2 linked regions of the Arabidopsis thaliana genome follow. The protein of the gene in region 2 interacts with the protein of the main gene of each other region in a pairwise test. Each region holds a gene or a part of one and is shown on either strand. Other genes may lie near its edges.

Region 1 (8,035 bases), on a different chromosome or scaffold from region 2:
CAGTTTAACTATTGATTCAGACAATCGTATATCCTTCACGGAAAGAGACAGAGACTTCAAGTGATTCAACACATCGATGCATCGCTCGACTTCGCATGGGTTCCGTGTATTGTAAGTAGCCTTAATTGCAGCAGCAGTCAAGTCGCATAAGTCAGATCTCTCCTTCGCAATTCTCACTCTCATCATCTTTCCGTCGTTCTTGATCATCAGGTGGCTAGGGTTTTCAGTTTATGTTGAAATCTCATACCATTGAATTTCTTTACTGGAAAATTGGTAAAAACGAAGAAACACATAAACCAACACTTCTCTTACCACTCAAGAATCGATACATTCATTAATATTTTACTAACATTATACAAGTAGAGTGGCGAAAGCTTTTACAAGAAACACATAACGTGCATAGAATTCTGAGGTTATAAACTCATTGCTCTGCTTTAATCAGCTTTTGCCATGTCCTATACTGATTGATGTAGTAAAATGTGTTGTAGATGGTTAGTATTTTAGGACTTCTCCCTCATTTTGGCTCTAGCAAATACAACTCCAGCGACAAGACCTGCAAATTAGGCCACCTCAGGTTTAATAATAATACACAACACAAGCGATATGTGTTCCTTCAAGAAGTTGGAAAAGGGAACTGATCGAGAGAACGCTTACCAAAGAGTATGCTTGCTGAGTTCTGCAAACTGGTCGGTACATTGAAAAGAACGATCCCCGCGATGGATAGAGGTATCTTGTTTAGAGATCCCACCAGGCTATGATTTTGAATAAAGCGAAAGATGTATCTAGTTAGGACTGAACCAACAAAGAAGCAAACATAGGAAAGGGATATATGGAGAAGGCTAGGGGACAGCAACACTCTCTTAAGCAAAGTTTTGAAATTGCTCTATCTCTCTCTAATTTGCTACCTGTATGTTGTTGCTCCAGTTTGATGAAGAAACCACATTGAAGTAAAGCTAATGGCAAGCCCTAGAAGTCCACTAAGTGTCATGACCATCCAGAAACTTGGTAATCGTAGAAGTGGCCTGCACAAATATAATACACCATTTTGTTTTCAGATGACACAAACCATTTTCCATTGACACAGAAATAAGGACAGGAACTCACGTTTGATAGAGATAATCCATCTCGTTGAAGAAATAAGAAAGAAGAAGCCCAAGTGGTAATGAAAGTGTGTTATTAAGCAAGACCATGGAGAACTCGTTCAAGTTTCCAGATTGAGTAACCTGCTTGGCCGTATCCATGGTCTTTCTCAAAGTCAGCTGCAAAACAACAAAATATAAGGCAAGTCAAAAGTGGTGGCAAATTTTATAAGAGTATAGTAGCCTAGCTAACAAGCCAAACACTTGGTTTTTGTTGACAGGATATAGGGATAAATTTATGGGAACCTAACAGTCTAACACTCTCGTTTTTTGACCCAGCAATGGAAAACCTAGTGAGAACTGAGAAGTTGATGGTGTCAATTTGCATTCTTTGCCCAAAGTCTTCTCTTTAACATGCTATTCCTACTTCTAACAACGAGTGAAGTACTCAGGTTACCAGTGACAATGGATTGCAAGCTATAAAATTTTCTAAGGTAACAGAATCTCGGTATCTCGTGAGCATCTTAAAACTCAAAAGCAAGCCAGTATCGTAATGATTATAGGGAAGGCTGTTTAGTTTATTGACTTAGTCTTAACCAAACAGCATGTAATACTCGACATGAAAGCATGGTTTTTAAGTGATCTCCTTTTCATATATGTGTTTATTGTTTCAAATGACTCCTAACATTTTGGGAAAAGAAAACACAAATGATCAAATGTTTACTCACCGAGTACGATGCAGTTAAGAAGCAATTAGCAATCTGCCAAGCATAGCCAACAGCATTGAATGATAGGTCTGTTATTCCTCCAGAAACTGCGGAAATTATCTGCAAATGAAGGACGAAAGAAGCACAGGTTAATCAAAACTTTATCCTCTACTTATTCAAGATCTATACAAAAACAAATAGAATATACATATAACAATGAGTAGCCGTGACAAAAAAACATGATTACATTTCCCTGGCAGACTAATTGTGGAAGCAGTTAAAAACATGTATCTCCAACAGTATTGAAAGGTTAGGCTATGCCACACCACTGAAAGCCGCTACGACAAGTGTAACTGTGTACGCACACAAAAGGGTGGATCACTTATCAATAAGAAGATATGCTTTAGACTTTATTGGTTAAGGTTGATGATCAGAGAGTGCTTTGAGAAAACAAGAGAAAACCAAATCCAAAACAGTATAGAATCGTTGTTTGACAAGGATATCTTTCAAAAACTCCAATCAAAATGCTATCTATGTGCAGCTTGAAATAGGTTCCTTGAGAATAGTTTTTTCTCAGGTACAATTTACAGAATCAGTTAGAAATACTTTTAAAGCAGACAAACATACCATTAAGAAGAGAGCAGCCCACACTCTGTTGTCATGTTGCTTGTTGAACAGATACATCTCACCAACTGCAGTTATCACATTAGTGACATTCTTCAGGACAGTGACCATTGCTACATTGATGTATTTCAAACTGTCAAAGAAAATGTAATTCAAATAGACAATCAAGTTCAATCTGCTCTTCAAACACCGCCTACATACACATATACGATACATATCTATATATCTCGACCTACTGTGAAGTAAATCCAAAATATCTATCTGTTTCACCTAAGTGTCTACACGTTATTTAATCCTCGATCTGCTGTAAAGATGATGTACAGATTCTTATAACTACCTTTAGTACTCCAAAAAGTTGACTTTACTAATTTAGTAATCTTATAGGCTTGAGAATTAAGAGAGCATCGATATATAATTCAACAAACCAACACAAAATAAAGGTGTAGAAACACATTCTTACCTAAACATGCTTGTGATAAGCATACCAACAAAGATGACATTCACTGGAAACCAGACCTTCATCAACCTCAAAGTAAGTGGTTCAGTAGTTATTAGACCCATTAAACTCAAACCAACCACAATGATCACCGAGACAAAGTTCTGGTATAACATAAGGAAGATCCCAGCATTGAAGTTGTAGCTGGAGAGAACAAACTTGTTGACAAGTATCATACTGCATGATGAAATGCAATAAGCTAAACCGGATAACAAAGCCCGGTTATGTATCTTTCTTGGAATTGGTTTATCTCCTCCGGATTTTACTGTCTTCCCATCTTCTAAATCAACTCCATCGTGTTCGTACAATTTCATTGCAAAGCTAAGACCTACCAAAGAAACTAACTTCTTTCAAGCTTATATAACTAGATCCATCATTCTTAACAATACACGCACAAAAAAAGTAACAGTTTTACATAAAAACCAATTCGGTTCCAATTCGCAGCTAAAATCAACTTAAGACGAGATTGGATCAAGCAGCAAAGTTGAGAGTAGCTACACAAGCGTTAATCGGAAGTTGTGTAGAGAATAACGAATTTTACCTCGAAGTTGTCCAAAAGCTCGCGAACTAAAGATTCAACTTCGGACGAGATCTAATTGATGACAAGTTACCGGAAAAAAAAAAAACTATGAATCGGAAGAAGAAGAAGAACATGAAACTTGCTCACGCGGAGGATCTTCGTCAGGTCGTGGTGGAGCTATCTGTGAAATGTTGTTTTGAAGAAACAATGGAAATTAGGAAACTGAAAAGACGAGGGAGAGAGATGGCATTGACCAGAAGAGAAAAAAAAAAAAAAAACTGACCAATTTTCGTTTCTTTCGTTTGTTTATTTATATTAAAATTAAGAGTTTCGTAAGTTAGAGGAAGTTCCATTATGTAAAACAAAATAAATTTTCTCAGTGGGTATTTCAAAATTGACAAACTCATCAACTACTCATGTCAAACATGTCTAAATGAATAAATAAAACTAGTATGTATTTCTTGAAATTAAAAATTATTCCAAAGCGAAAAATAGCCTTTTATCTATAAATACAGAATAATATTGATCATTTTTAAGACAATAAAACAGAATAATACTGATCATATACAAATAGGCCATATACAAATATGTCATAACTATACTAAAATTTAAGAAAATATTAGCTATTTAATACTATCAAACAAATCTCTTCATTGAGGTCATTCAACACAAACATTGTTATTTATAAAAAAAGAACACAAACTTTGTTTGGAGTAACTTTGACAGTTACACGTTAAATATGTTCTCTCCTAAGGTATTGAGCTTATGATGTTATTTTGTTAATTTTCATCATTTTATAGTTATTGGTTATTATATAAATCTCTTATATATTGAGAAGAAATAATAATATAAACATAAATTATCTAATTTAGTTATAATGGTTTGGTACCATATGGTCCAAATCACACAATATGTTGTACAATTTGCTTTTTTGGAAAAATGTCATTTAAATCAGTAGTTTACTATTTTTGTTGATTTAAACTATGAGTTCTGTATCTGGTAATTTAAATTCTCAATTTTTATGTTGATTTTCAATTTAATCACGAATTTTCGTTAATTAAGCAAATTGAGGCACAATTTTTTCTCTTTCGCACCATCAATCGACATAGAGATAAGAGATTATTTTGAATTTAAAGAAGAAGAAGGAATCAAAAAAAGGAAAGAATTCAAAAAAGAAAAGAGGGAAAAATGAAAATCGATTTTGGATTCTAGTGTTTATGATTTAAGAAATTTATAATGATGCGTCTTAATTAGTTTAATCAGTGAGAATTCGTATTTAAATTGATAGTCAGTGCAAAAGTGTACTACTGTTATGTGTCTCTAAACTTGGCAATTTGACACAAAATCTGAATGAATAAAAATAAAAGTTTGGCAATAATGGTCCATTTGCCTTTTTGCTTTGTACCATACCGTTGACCTTTCGGCTTAATTCTTTCCACCAGAAATTTTAGCCTATCTATTTTGACTCTTTGACACAGTCCACTTCTAAATCCACTAGCCATAGCCCAAGTTACTCGAGCACGTAAAATAAAATCCTTTAGGCCCAAAAGAACCAGTGTAGCCAAACGCATGACCATTTTGTTTTTTCCGTAACGCATGACAATTTTTATAACAAAAATATATTCACACTCTAATGTTAACGACACTCATCTTGTTCTTGAGAACAAATAGTTGAATATCATTTTCGTATTATAACATTTAATGAAAAGAGTTTTCTATCTCTTCTCTCTTTCATATCTTTTACAGAGAGGGAGCTCTGTTTTTCTTTTGTAATCTCCGTCTTCAATCAGAGCTTTTTGGTTTGTGTTTTAGATTTCCTGTTTTGATGCCGGTTTCTCTTTCCGACTTGTTCGGATTTACTTTCTTTCTTTCTCTTTTGGTTGCCTTTTGCAGGCTCAAATTAACTCTTCCAATTTCGGGAAGATGAAAATTCCAGAAGTCATCAAATGGATCCTTGTTCATTGAGTGCTTGATTCTTCTCCCAAGTGAAGGTAATTCCTTGCTCCGCCAAAAGGGCTTGTTTAGAGCATCGGTTCTCCTTGGTGGATTGATCAAGTTGATGCGGTTGATTGGGACGGAGTATGAAGAATTGGAGTCTTCGTCTTGTTCTGATGAATATTTCGGGCTAATCGGCTGAGGTTACAAATTCTCGTGATCAAGTTTAGGTCCAACCAATCTCTTCTGGTGATCTATGGCAAAAGGCGAGTAGGTACAATCGAAGGCAGAGATAGAGGTTTCTTGGAGGACTGAGTTGATCTGCCGGCTGGTGAAGGAAGTTTCCGGTGATGATGAGTCGGTGACAGCTGATGAAGGAAGTTTCCGGTGATGATGAGTCGGTGACGGCGAAACCTTTTTCTTCTCTCAACATCCCACATTGCATAACACGTATCTCTTTTTTATTTTTCTTATCTTGTGTTTTGCAATTAGTGGGCTAACTTTTGGCCATCTTCTGTACCGAATATCTGCCCATTTGGGCTTTTATAAAACATATTAGGCCGACAAAAAAGAAAAAAAGAAAAAAAAACACCACTTACTATTTTTACTTCTCACTTTATAAGCTTAGAAATAGTATTACCCTCCACATCTCTCTTTTGGTCTCCTTATTTTACACTTACAAGTTTGGCCATCACAAAGTCTGCCAACTTCAAAAAAAGTCTGGCAACTTGATTTCACCATTCGAATCCAGTAATATATTTTTTCCTTTGATCAAAATAAATCTTAAAAGAAAAGAAACAAATGGAGTTCCCTTCAACTTAAAATATTTCATGATAAATATATTACAACCAAAGCTTACATATGCACCATATTTTGTCCATGTAAGACCATCTCCAATAGAGAGAGCCTCCCTATGGGCTCTCTCTATTTTTTTAATACAATTTTATTCAAATTATGTTAAGAGAGCTTATGTTTTTTTTTTTTTTTTTTTTTATAGTCCAATGGTGGACTTTTTCAATGAAGTTCTCAGAAAAAAAAAAATGTGCTTAACATGAAATTTTACTAATTGATTCAAGCAATAACAGATCAACAATGATAGTAGGCTATGATTCTGGTACATGTGATTTTTGAATCTAAAACAGAGTGTGCTTTTCCATGGGATTAAACAATGATAGTAGGCTATAATTCTGGTACATGGGATTTAAACATAGGAATTTATGCATAACTCTACGTGTTAAGCATCTAAATCAAAGTTTTTTTTTTGTTCGTCTGTTCGTCACATATATAAACTTGTATAAATTTTCAAATCAATGAATGAATAAGATGTTAAAAAAAATGTTCGAATGGATAATGGTTTTCGTTAGAAAGAATAAACACAATCAAAGATGAGTCAGTTTAGAATTTAATTTCAGAAACTTTTAATACACATAGTTCTTCTAGATTGGATGTCACGCATTTTGAGAATTTCCTTAATTGTTGTTCATTCTTCAAACAATGTCTACTTGCTAATCCATGCATATACAAAATCGAGTATGCAATGATATGATACCAATGGTATCATACCATATAAAGCAATGTCTACAAAGATTCATACATACTAAAAACTAGGCCATGCATGCATGTTATGATACCATATAAATCAAACAAATTCATTTAACATTGTACTATTGGTAAAAGAAACCAAATTGAGAAATGGACCAAAACAATAAAAACAACAATAATTCGTTAATCCGTTCATAGTTACATTAAATATGTCACAGAAAAACTTGGAATATAACAGAAAATAAAGGAGAAAGACACGGACCTCCATTTGTGAGAGACACACACCTCCCAGTCACACAATCGCTATTTTATTAACCTCTCTTCTTTCGCCACGTGGCATCTCTCTCTAACTGAAAATATTCTCTCATTTCCCTCTTAAAACCGTAAAGCAACATTTTCTCCTCCATTTTTGATCTCTCTCTCTCTCCCTTCTTCTTCTTCTTCTTCTTCCTCTCGTCGCCATTTTTTTTTCCTCTGTATCTGTTCATGCCCGACGCCTAACTGAGTCACCTCGTCTCTGCTTCAGGTGAATCTTCGTCGCTACTTCTCCGTTTTTGTAAATCGTCTCGAAATTACACTCACTTTTGGTTTCGTTTTCTTCTAATCTTCAGGGAAGGGGATCTGAAAGCTCTTCGCATCTAACGTGAGTTCTTCCTTTCGTAGAATTTTTACGTTCGATACTGTATATTGAATCGATTCAGCTTCCGTGAGATTTTGTTTTGAAAAATGTGACGAGAAACAATGAATCGATGTTTGTTTTCGTTTCGTTTTCGATTTCTTCTCCATCGCTCGAGCTCCTGATTTTGATTTTTGTCCATGTTTATCGTCTGCACTGATTTCGAGGTCCTTTTGTTGTTCCGTACGATTTCGATTGAGTTTCCGTGAAATCTCTGTTCGATTGCTTCGCTCGAGCTCCATTTTGATTGTTCATGTTTGTTTGTTGCGGAATCGCAAGAGCTTGTAACCTAGTGTTGTTCTAATCAATCTGTTATATACCTAAATTCAAAAGTAGCATCTTAATCGCTTGACAAAAATTAGCTGTTTTTGGTGCATATAATCCTTCGATTTTGTTTTGTGTTTTGTTGTTTATTGAGAAGATTGGTAACATTGTGATTCAATGTTTTGTAACAGG
Region 2 (8,035 bases):
CTTATGTAATAAAGTCTATCTTGTATGACTACAATTGATCATGGGATTCGTGGCTAATATTTTTTGTAATTATATCTTTTGAGTCAAATTCCATACTCATTTTAATATATGCAATCGAATGTATCTACTAATAATTTGTTCTTATTTAATTTGATTCTGTTGACTCTGTTCCAAAACAACTTTCGGCTATTGGATGTGTCCACGCGAAATGTAATATAATAATGATCAAGTCTTCAAAATGGCACACCTTAATTTCTTTTTGCAAATTATAAAAATTCTTTATATGGTGATCCTACGTATCTATCTAATTATCTCCCAAAACTATGGGCAAGAGTCATTATTAAAATCGACCCTTGGTCTTTTGAGATGCTCAAGAGTTTTAATTTCTAAAATATTAAGCCTTCACTAACATGATTAGAAAAAAATAAAAAGTTAAAAACATGATTAGAAATTTAGAATATTTTAATAAGTACAATGTGGAAATCTAGTGTAAACTTTCCTCGAACATTCCCCATAGATTTATATAAATAGCTAGTGAGAATTTGTTCATGCACATATTCATCACAAAGGAACTCACTGCTCTTAAATTTGCTCTAATTGTTATTACCTTGGTAAATAATATATTCTTGGTTCGATTCGAAATTTTCAAGCAAATGGGTATCGTTGAAAACATTCGTTCCCTTAAATTTGAAGTGAAAATCGTGGAAGCTAGAAACGTAGAGCTCAAGTCATCGCCAACCACTCTCTTCGTTAGGTTCTATCTCCATGCAGGGAATAACAGTAAGATTGAACTAAACACTCCAGAGATCCGTTCGAGATCAGACTGTGAGGTCATTTCCTGGAACCAATCATTCGGTCTGGAGTGCCAAGGGAACGAAACCGCGGTCGAGGAATTGAAGCAACAAAGTGTTGTTTTCGAACTACGGAGAAGGAAAACGACGCCGTTTTTGAAGAAGTGGTCGAAATCAGAGTTGGTGGGTAGAGGAAAGATTTTTTGGAAATCGGTTATAGAGACTGATGGGATGGAAATAGAGAGATTTGTAGTGATGGATGAGACAAAAGATCACGTTCTGGAAGATTGTGATAAGCATAAACCTCTTTTGTTGAAGATAGCTTTAAAAGTGCAAGCTTCAAAAATCGTGAACACTAAGAGAGTGGAAGATCTTTGTGAGTGTAAAGATTGTAGAACATGTAACTGCGTAGATTATGAAGCTTTTGTTGTAGCTTGTGCGTTAGCTGGGATTTAGTTTGTAAGAATAAAATTTAAAGAAGAGATGATTCAAAGAAACCAGAATAAGTTGTTGCAGTAAAATGTAAAAACTAAGGACCAAAGTTCAAAGAAAATGAAAAACAAATAACAACTGTCTTATAAAAGACTATGAAACGATGATGTTGTTTCAAGCATGGTCATGTCCAAGAAGGGCGAGAAGCATATCCTTGTAGTCACCAGAAGTGTCATTAGCAATGGCTCGATCAAGAGGAACACTGTTCCTGCGTAAGTATTCTTCTTTGATCCGCTCCAGGTCGACCTCTGCTCTTGTAGTGACCACTCTAGTAAGTGCCCACTCGTCTGTTCCCATCCTGTTGATGGCTCGACGTAGAACCTTCTCAAAGTACTTCTCTGGATATGTCAAGCATTTGATCGCGGTTTTGAGTAATTGAACATAATCATCGTTCGAATCTTCTTTGAGAAACTTGTTAATGGAACTTCCAAACTTGTCCTTGAAGTGATTGAGTGTTGCATTGATCTGTGCTTTGCTCCTTGTTGTCAAGATTCTGATGAGATCTTCATCAGTGTAAGCCTTCTCAGTGATCTTCTTGTGAAGTGTCTTAGCTTCGGATCTAGCCAGCTTCACGTTGACCTCATCAGCATTTCCATCGTACCTGAAGGTGCTCACAAGAGGAACCAATAGCTGCATTTTTACAAGTGGTCAAAACAAAACAACATATCATCAGAAACTTACTAATTGGTTTAAAGAATGATATACATAAATCTTTCACTACCTTTCGGATATTTCCAGATGTATGGTATGCAACATCTTCCTCGAGAGAGGTCTTGTAGCGAACATGGTATGCTTGCTTGGTCTTGAAAAACTCAAGAGAAGGTCTAGTACAAGCGATTTCAACTAGGACCCAAATGTTTTTGGTGAACAATTTGGTAGATTCATTGGCCAAATACGCATCTCTCTCCGTTGGATCAAGAGTCCACAACATCACAACTCTCTGTTTTCAAGCAAAGTAAGATGTTCAAAATAAGATGAAGAAATATAGATTTTGTATCTTTTAGTTTTGACAAACCTCAAAGTCACCAGAAAGCTCTCCGTCTAATTCCTTGAGAAGATCCTTATTGTAGTTAGCAGCATAAACGGCACGAATGAAACTGCGTTGCGTTGCGTTTCTATGAGCCAAAATTGATATGATCATCCCTTCATTAGTTCCCCATCCTGCGCCACACAAAAACAAATTTCAAACCCAAGTTTAGTCAGATAGAGAGTATGTAACAAAACCTAACTAAACCAAACCAAAATTTTACGACAGTTAGAAATTAACTGTAAATATACAAGAAAGCTGATGTTCGCTAGTAGAAAAAAAACCAAGCTTGAAAAAATCTTAGAAGATTATTAGAATTTTTTTTTTGGGTTTAAATCTGAATAAAAAAATTGTTACGAAAGCAACAAGTTAATCTGTTTAAAAGAGTTGTCTAATCGTCGATTACAAACCAAACGGTCAGGAAACGCTCCAACATAAAATCAATTGCATCCAAAATCAGCAAAAGAGTAAATAATATGTCACACAATTTTGCACCGTAACAAAAGAATCATGCAATGGAGTATAACCACAAAACTTCACGAAGTTAAGACTTCCTAAGAATCATTTGAAAAACGAAATAAAAAAGAGCTAACTTATCATCCACTTCTTAAAATTAAACCTATATACGTGTCATCAACCAAACCAGCAAGCTAGATCAGTAGATCAGACCTGTCATGATAATAGATTGAACTATTGATAATCAACCCAATTAAATAATATCAAAATGCAAATGATTCAATCAAAGCATGAATGTGAAGGCCTAGTATTTAACTTTTACTAAATCAATCTAACAATGAAGGGATGGATCATGAAAACCTTTGAATGCCTTGTGGAGCTGCTCGGAGTCTTCTTCGGGAAGAGGAATATTTGCTGGAATTTTGAGAGACGCCATTCTCCGACCACTGAATATTTCTCTAGCTCTCTAGATGAGACGAAGAAAATGTGGGACGAGGAACATGCACACTGTCTTAAATAATGAAATGATATCCCAATTTTTTATATTTTATTAATTATTTTTGTTAAAAATTAGATTTAGCAATCTATGTAAATCAGTAAAAGAGGAAAAAATTATTAATACAGGCTGTCTACAGTGGATAGAATTGATAAAACAAGTATAATGTTTTGCATTTTTTTGTCATAAAGCTGAATATTAAATGGAAATTGCACATTTTCTTAAATAATGAACTGAAATCTCAAATTTTGTTAATTATTAATCAATTTTGTTTTAAAATAGACTTAACAATTTAAGTAAATTAGTAAAATGAGAGATTTTATTAATACAATTACAGGCTGTATACAGTGAACAGAAATGAAAAAACAAGAATCATGTTTTGGGTTTTTGTCATAAAGCTGGATTTTAAATGCACTTTAAACAGCTTAAATATGGGATTACATAGGTACCGAAATTTAACTTTTAATTTATTTATTTTTTCTGTTATATAATACACGCATATTCCTTAATTAATTTCATTATTTGGATATTTCATTATTTGGACATGGATTATAACACATGGCGGACAAAACATTAGAACCAATATTGTTCATTTTAACAAGATGTATTAAGTATGGGTTTAGCTTTAATTTTAAAACCATATAATTAAGGGGAAAATTATAACTCATTAGTTTATACTAAATTAATTATAAATAGATCAATAATAATTTTTGATATGGTTTTATAATTTTTAGATTTAAAAAAAAAAATAACTGAAAACATCGACGACAAATGAAACTGAAGACACTAAATTCTTAACATGACCAAGTTGCAAGTCCAACCACAACTGTTTTATTAAACACAAAGCGATAAAATTTAGTTTTTTTTCTTAAACAAAACTTGCAAATGTTATTTCAAGCATGGTCATGTCCGAGAAGAGCGAGAAGTATATCCTCATAGTCACCATGAGTGTCTTTAGCAATGGCTCGATCAAGAGGAACACTGTTTCTACGTATATATTCCTCTTTGATCCGTTCCATGTCAAACTCTGCTCGTGTAGTGACCACTCTCGTTAGTCCCCACTCATCTGTTCCCAATTTGTTGATGGCTTGACGTAGAACTTTCTCAAAATACTTCTCTGGATATGTCAAGCATTTGATCACGGCTTTGAGCAATTGAATGTATTCGTTTTCCGAATCCTCCTTTAGGTATTTGCTCATGGAAGTTCCGAAATTGTTTTTGTAGTGATTGAGAGTTGCGCTGATTTGTGCTTTGCTCCTGGTTGTCAAGATTCTTATGAGATCATCATCAGCATAAGCCTTTTCCTTGATCTTCTCGTGAAGTATCTTAGCCTCGGACCTAGCTAACGTCATGTTCACTTCATCTCCATCGTACCTAAAAGTGCTCACAAGAGGTACCAAGAGCTGCATAAACAAAAACATATGTCACAAATTTATATGCATTCTTGACATAGTTATACGAACTGAGTTTGTTAGCTAGGAATCTTAATTACATCAATAAACATATGAGATTTCATCTAGTATACAAAATAGATGAACTAGATACATTTGATTTTATTGGATATCTCAGATGGAATTAAGCTCATGAAACTTTCACATAATTAATTATATAATACCTTTCGAATGTCTCCAGATGTGTGGTATGCGACGTCTTCCTCGAGGGAGGTCTTGTAGCGGGCTTGGTATGCTTGCTTGGCATTAAAGAGTTCAAGAGCAGATCTAGTACAAGCGATTTCGACAAGAACCCAATTGTTTTTGGTGAACATTTTGGTAGATTCTTTTGCCAAATAAGCATCTCTCTCCGCTGGTTCAAAAGTCCACAACATCACAGCTCGCTGTTTTGTTTACAAAAAAAGAAAACATAGTTAAACAGATCAGTAGACTAAAACCAAAAGAAGACGAATATATAAAGATGTTGTCTCAAATTAAAACCTCAAAGTCACCGGAAAGCTCTCTGTCTAATTCCTTGAGAAGATCCTTATTGTAGTTAGCAGCATAAACGGCACGAATGAAACTACGTTGCGTTGCATTTCTGTGAGCCAAGATTGATATGATCATCCTCTCATTGGTTCCCCATCCTGCATTAGACAAATTCACAATTACATTAAAGAAAAATAGAGTCAGAATCATGTTTGAAATCATTCATCAGTATTAGATTGAAAAAGATATATAATTCTAGTAAAATTTATCTCGTTTCATCAATTTTTGAAAGGTCTATTAAATACTAATAGATTATTTTTGATGATAGGAGTAATTTTAACCAAATTAAATAAATCCATACCATAAACCAAACTAGATCTATATACTATATAGATCAACGAATATATACAGACACATGATCGATCAGATAAGAGGGTATAGTTGAAATAGATTACGCTATGACCAACCAAACTGATAGAGGATTCAATCGAAGAAGGCGAATGCTAGACTAGTTATAACCAAAAGATTAATGAAGGGGTATAGAGAAGGACATAAACCTTTAAAGGCTTTGTAGAGTTGCTCAGCGTCTTCTTCGGGAAGAGGAACAGTGGCGGGAACTTTGAGAGAAGCCATTTTTCGAACAAGTGAAATTTCTGTATGTTCTTGTTTTTTGTTGTCTAGATGATGAGGTAGATAGAGCTCGTGTTGTCTTACTTAAATAATGAGATGGCAATTAAAGTTTCAATAAAAAAGTTTTTGTATAAAGATGTATTTTGATAAAGAGACTTAGTAATTTTTAATGAATTAAATGAATGGAAAAGGTAGTAAATCAACTGAAAATATTATTGAATAGTAAATTTGTTGACTATATAAGTGAAGTATTAAAAGCCTATCTATTTTAGTTAAAAGGAAAGAAATCAAGATAGCTGGCAGAAAATGAATTTAATTAAGTTGAATAAATTTCAAGGGAAGTATTTATATATATAGAGTGGGACAGAAACTTATGATTTTGATTGTGAATGACACGTTTGAGTTTGGCCTTGACATATGAAGAGTATACACAACTTTTTTTTTTTTTACTTTTATAATTATGTTTAGTGGATATCTATGATTTATATTTATTAACATAATATTGTTGTTTTAATTTTTTTTTTGGAAAAAAACTTTGATTAGATTTTTTTAAAAATTTGATTACTCAATAATTAATTATTTTAAGCTATATATTAAATAGACCTTTAAAGGTCCATGTGACAAGTTTATAATTATAGGAATTTTCCGGAGACAAAACAAGATTTTCATTGCTTATGTCATTTGTTCTTGTTTAACTCCAAGAATCACGTGGTTAGTGCTAAGCTTAACGTTTAAGGAGCAGTTATTTTATTGGCAACCAAATACTGATTATCGACTAATTAAAAGAATCGTAACGTCAAATATCTAATTGGTGTAGTTTATATGTTATAAAATATGTTATGGATAAACAACCCACAAGAAAGTTATAAGAATTGTAATGAATTTCAAATTTTCATTAGACCGTAAAAACAGATCTGGCGCGAAAAAAATTAAAAGGAAGATTAAATAAAAGAACAACGACTCTGCTGGGGATCGAACCCAGAATCTCTGGTTTCGTAGACCAGCGCCTTATCCATTGGGCCACAGAGTCCTTGTGATGATAGTAGAACACTTAAACAATATAACTTTAATAGAAAGGTACTATTCCCACAATAGCCAACGCCAGTTTTCTTCTATAAAGATCCGTTTAATTTGCATGAACCAACCTAAACCTTCTTCTCTGTATCGTTTCAATTCCAATTACAGTGTACTTTGAAGTTTGAATTACTATAGAAAACCAAAGTGAATCAAAATATAGACTGATGATAATCACACTTTTTGACAGAACAAAGAAAATAGCTTTTGAGATAGAAAAAGAAAGAAAGAATCGGATTCATGAAAAATAACGTTCATAATCTGAAGTATCAAGCTTTCATGGATTGTCTAATAACACTAAACACAGAAATTCACCAGGAACTTATTAGGTACACATCCAAAGAACCCCAGAAAACAAGAAAAAAAGAAAGCCTTTTTAGAACCTATAGAAGAGGATATCTATTGTCTTTGAGACAATAAGAGTATTGCACGATTCAACATTAGCTGAAACCTTGTTTGTTTATCCTCAAACAATGGCTGGAGTCTTCTCTGCTAGTTTCTGTAGCTTCTCGGGACGAGAATCTTCGGTTTTATCTTCCCCATAAGCTGAAACATGAACTCCAAGAGCCGCACGACCTGATGGGTCAAGATTCTGTGACCAAGCTGCGTCCCATTCCACAGCTTTTGCTGTGCTACATGCCACACTTGGACCTCCTGGTACAGTTGCTCTAGCAGCACTCTGCTCATTTATCAGTTATATATCCGTTAAACAAATCTGAGCAAAGATCAAGACAATTAAAGAAGACCAAGTAGTTATGCAGATGAAAATCATTACCTTAGGGAAGAACTTTTCAAAGATGGTTCTGTAGTAGTAAGCTTCTTTTGTCAAAGGTGTGTTATCAGGGAAGACAAAGCTTGCGTTCATCAGCATTGTCTCAGAGACCTTACCAAAAGAGAAAGGAGAGTACCGCAATAAAATCAAACTGTTACGTTAAAATATTCTTTCTTATCGATTAAAAGAGACATCTTCTTACATGTTTGTTTGCATGATCTTTTAGACCATCAATCCAGCTGTATCCAACTCCATCACTGAACTGTTCTTTCTGCCTATATAGAATGTGCTACATTTACCAAAAAGATGACAAGTTGTTAGCAAAGCTAGATAGTTTTGTCAAATTGCAGGGAGCAAAGTTTTTGCTAGAAAACCTTT

What was found. The genes of interacting proteins can lie anywhere in the genome.
Region 1: the proteins of ANN6 (region 2) and GONST1 interact in a protein complementation assay, tested with the Arabidopsis thaliana proteins (one large-scale study listed by BioGRID).

The regions. Positions count from the first base shown.
Region 1 is NC_003071.7:5,687,084-5,695,118, forward strand, and holds GONST1 (golgi nucleotide sugar transporter 1), read right to left. Parts: upstream 3,689-8,035; 5' UTR 3,448-3,688; intron 3,235-3,447; 5' UTR 3,221-3,234; coding exon 2,871-3,220; exon of another isoform or gene 2,627-2,870; coding exon of another isoform or gene 2,544-2,626; coding exon 2,414-2,543; intron 1,907-2,413; coding exon 1,808-1,906; intron 1,260-1,807; coding exon 1,105-1,259; intron 1,023-1,104; coding exon 906-1,022; coding exon of another isoform or gene 902-905; exon of another isoform or gene 753-901; coding exon 655-752; intron 554-654; coding exon 501-553; 3' UTR 233-500; downstream 1-232. Other genes in the region: AT2G13640 (Transcription factor IIS family protein), read right to left, coding at 1-207; AT2G13660 (uncharacterized protein), read right to left, coding at 5,209-5,534, 5,599-5,806. UniProt on the Arabidopsis thaliana protein: Involved in the import of GDP-mannose from the cytoplasm into the Golgi lumen. Required for the luminal synthesis of a variety of plant cell surface components. Is required for the correct mannosylation of the glycosylinositol phosphoceramides (GIPC).
Region 2 is NC_003076.8:3,205,583-3,213,617, forward strand, and holds ANN6 (annexin 6), read right to left. Parts: upstream 3,249-8,035; 5' UTR 3,203-3,248; coding exon 3,127-3,202; intron 2,445-3,126; coding exon 2,299-2,444; intron 2,224-2,298; coding exon 2,005-2,223; intron 1,914-2,004; coding exon 1,398-1,913; 3' UTR 1,286-1,397; downstream 1-1,285. Other genes in the region: AT5G10210 (nitric oxide synthase-interacting protein), read left to right, coding at 654-1,247; ANNAT7 (annexin 7), read right to left, coding at 4,156-4,665, 4,878-5,096, 5,194-5,339, 5,739-5,814; ASN3 (asparagine synthetase 3), read right to left, coding at 7,352-7,564, 7,661-7,768, 7,860-7,946, 8,032-8,035.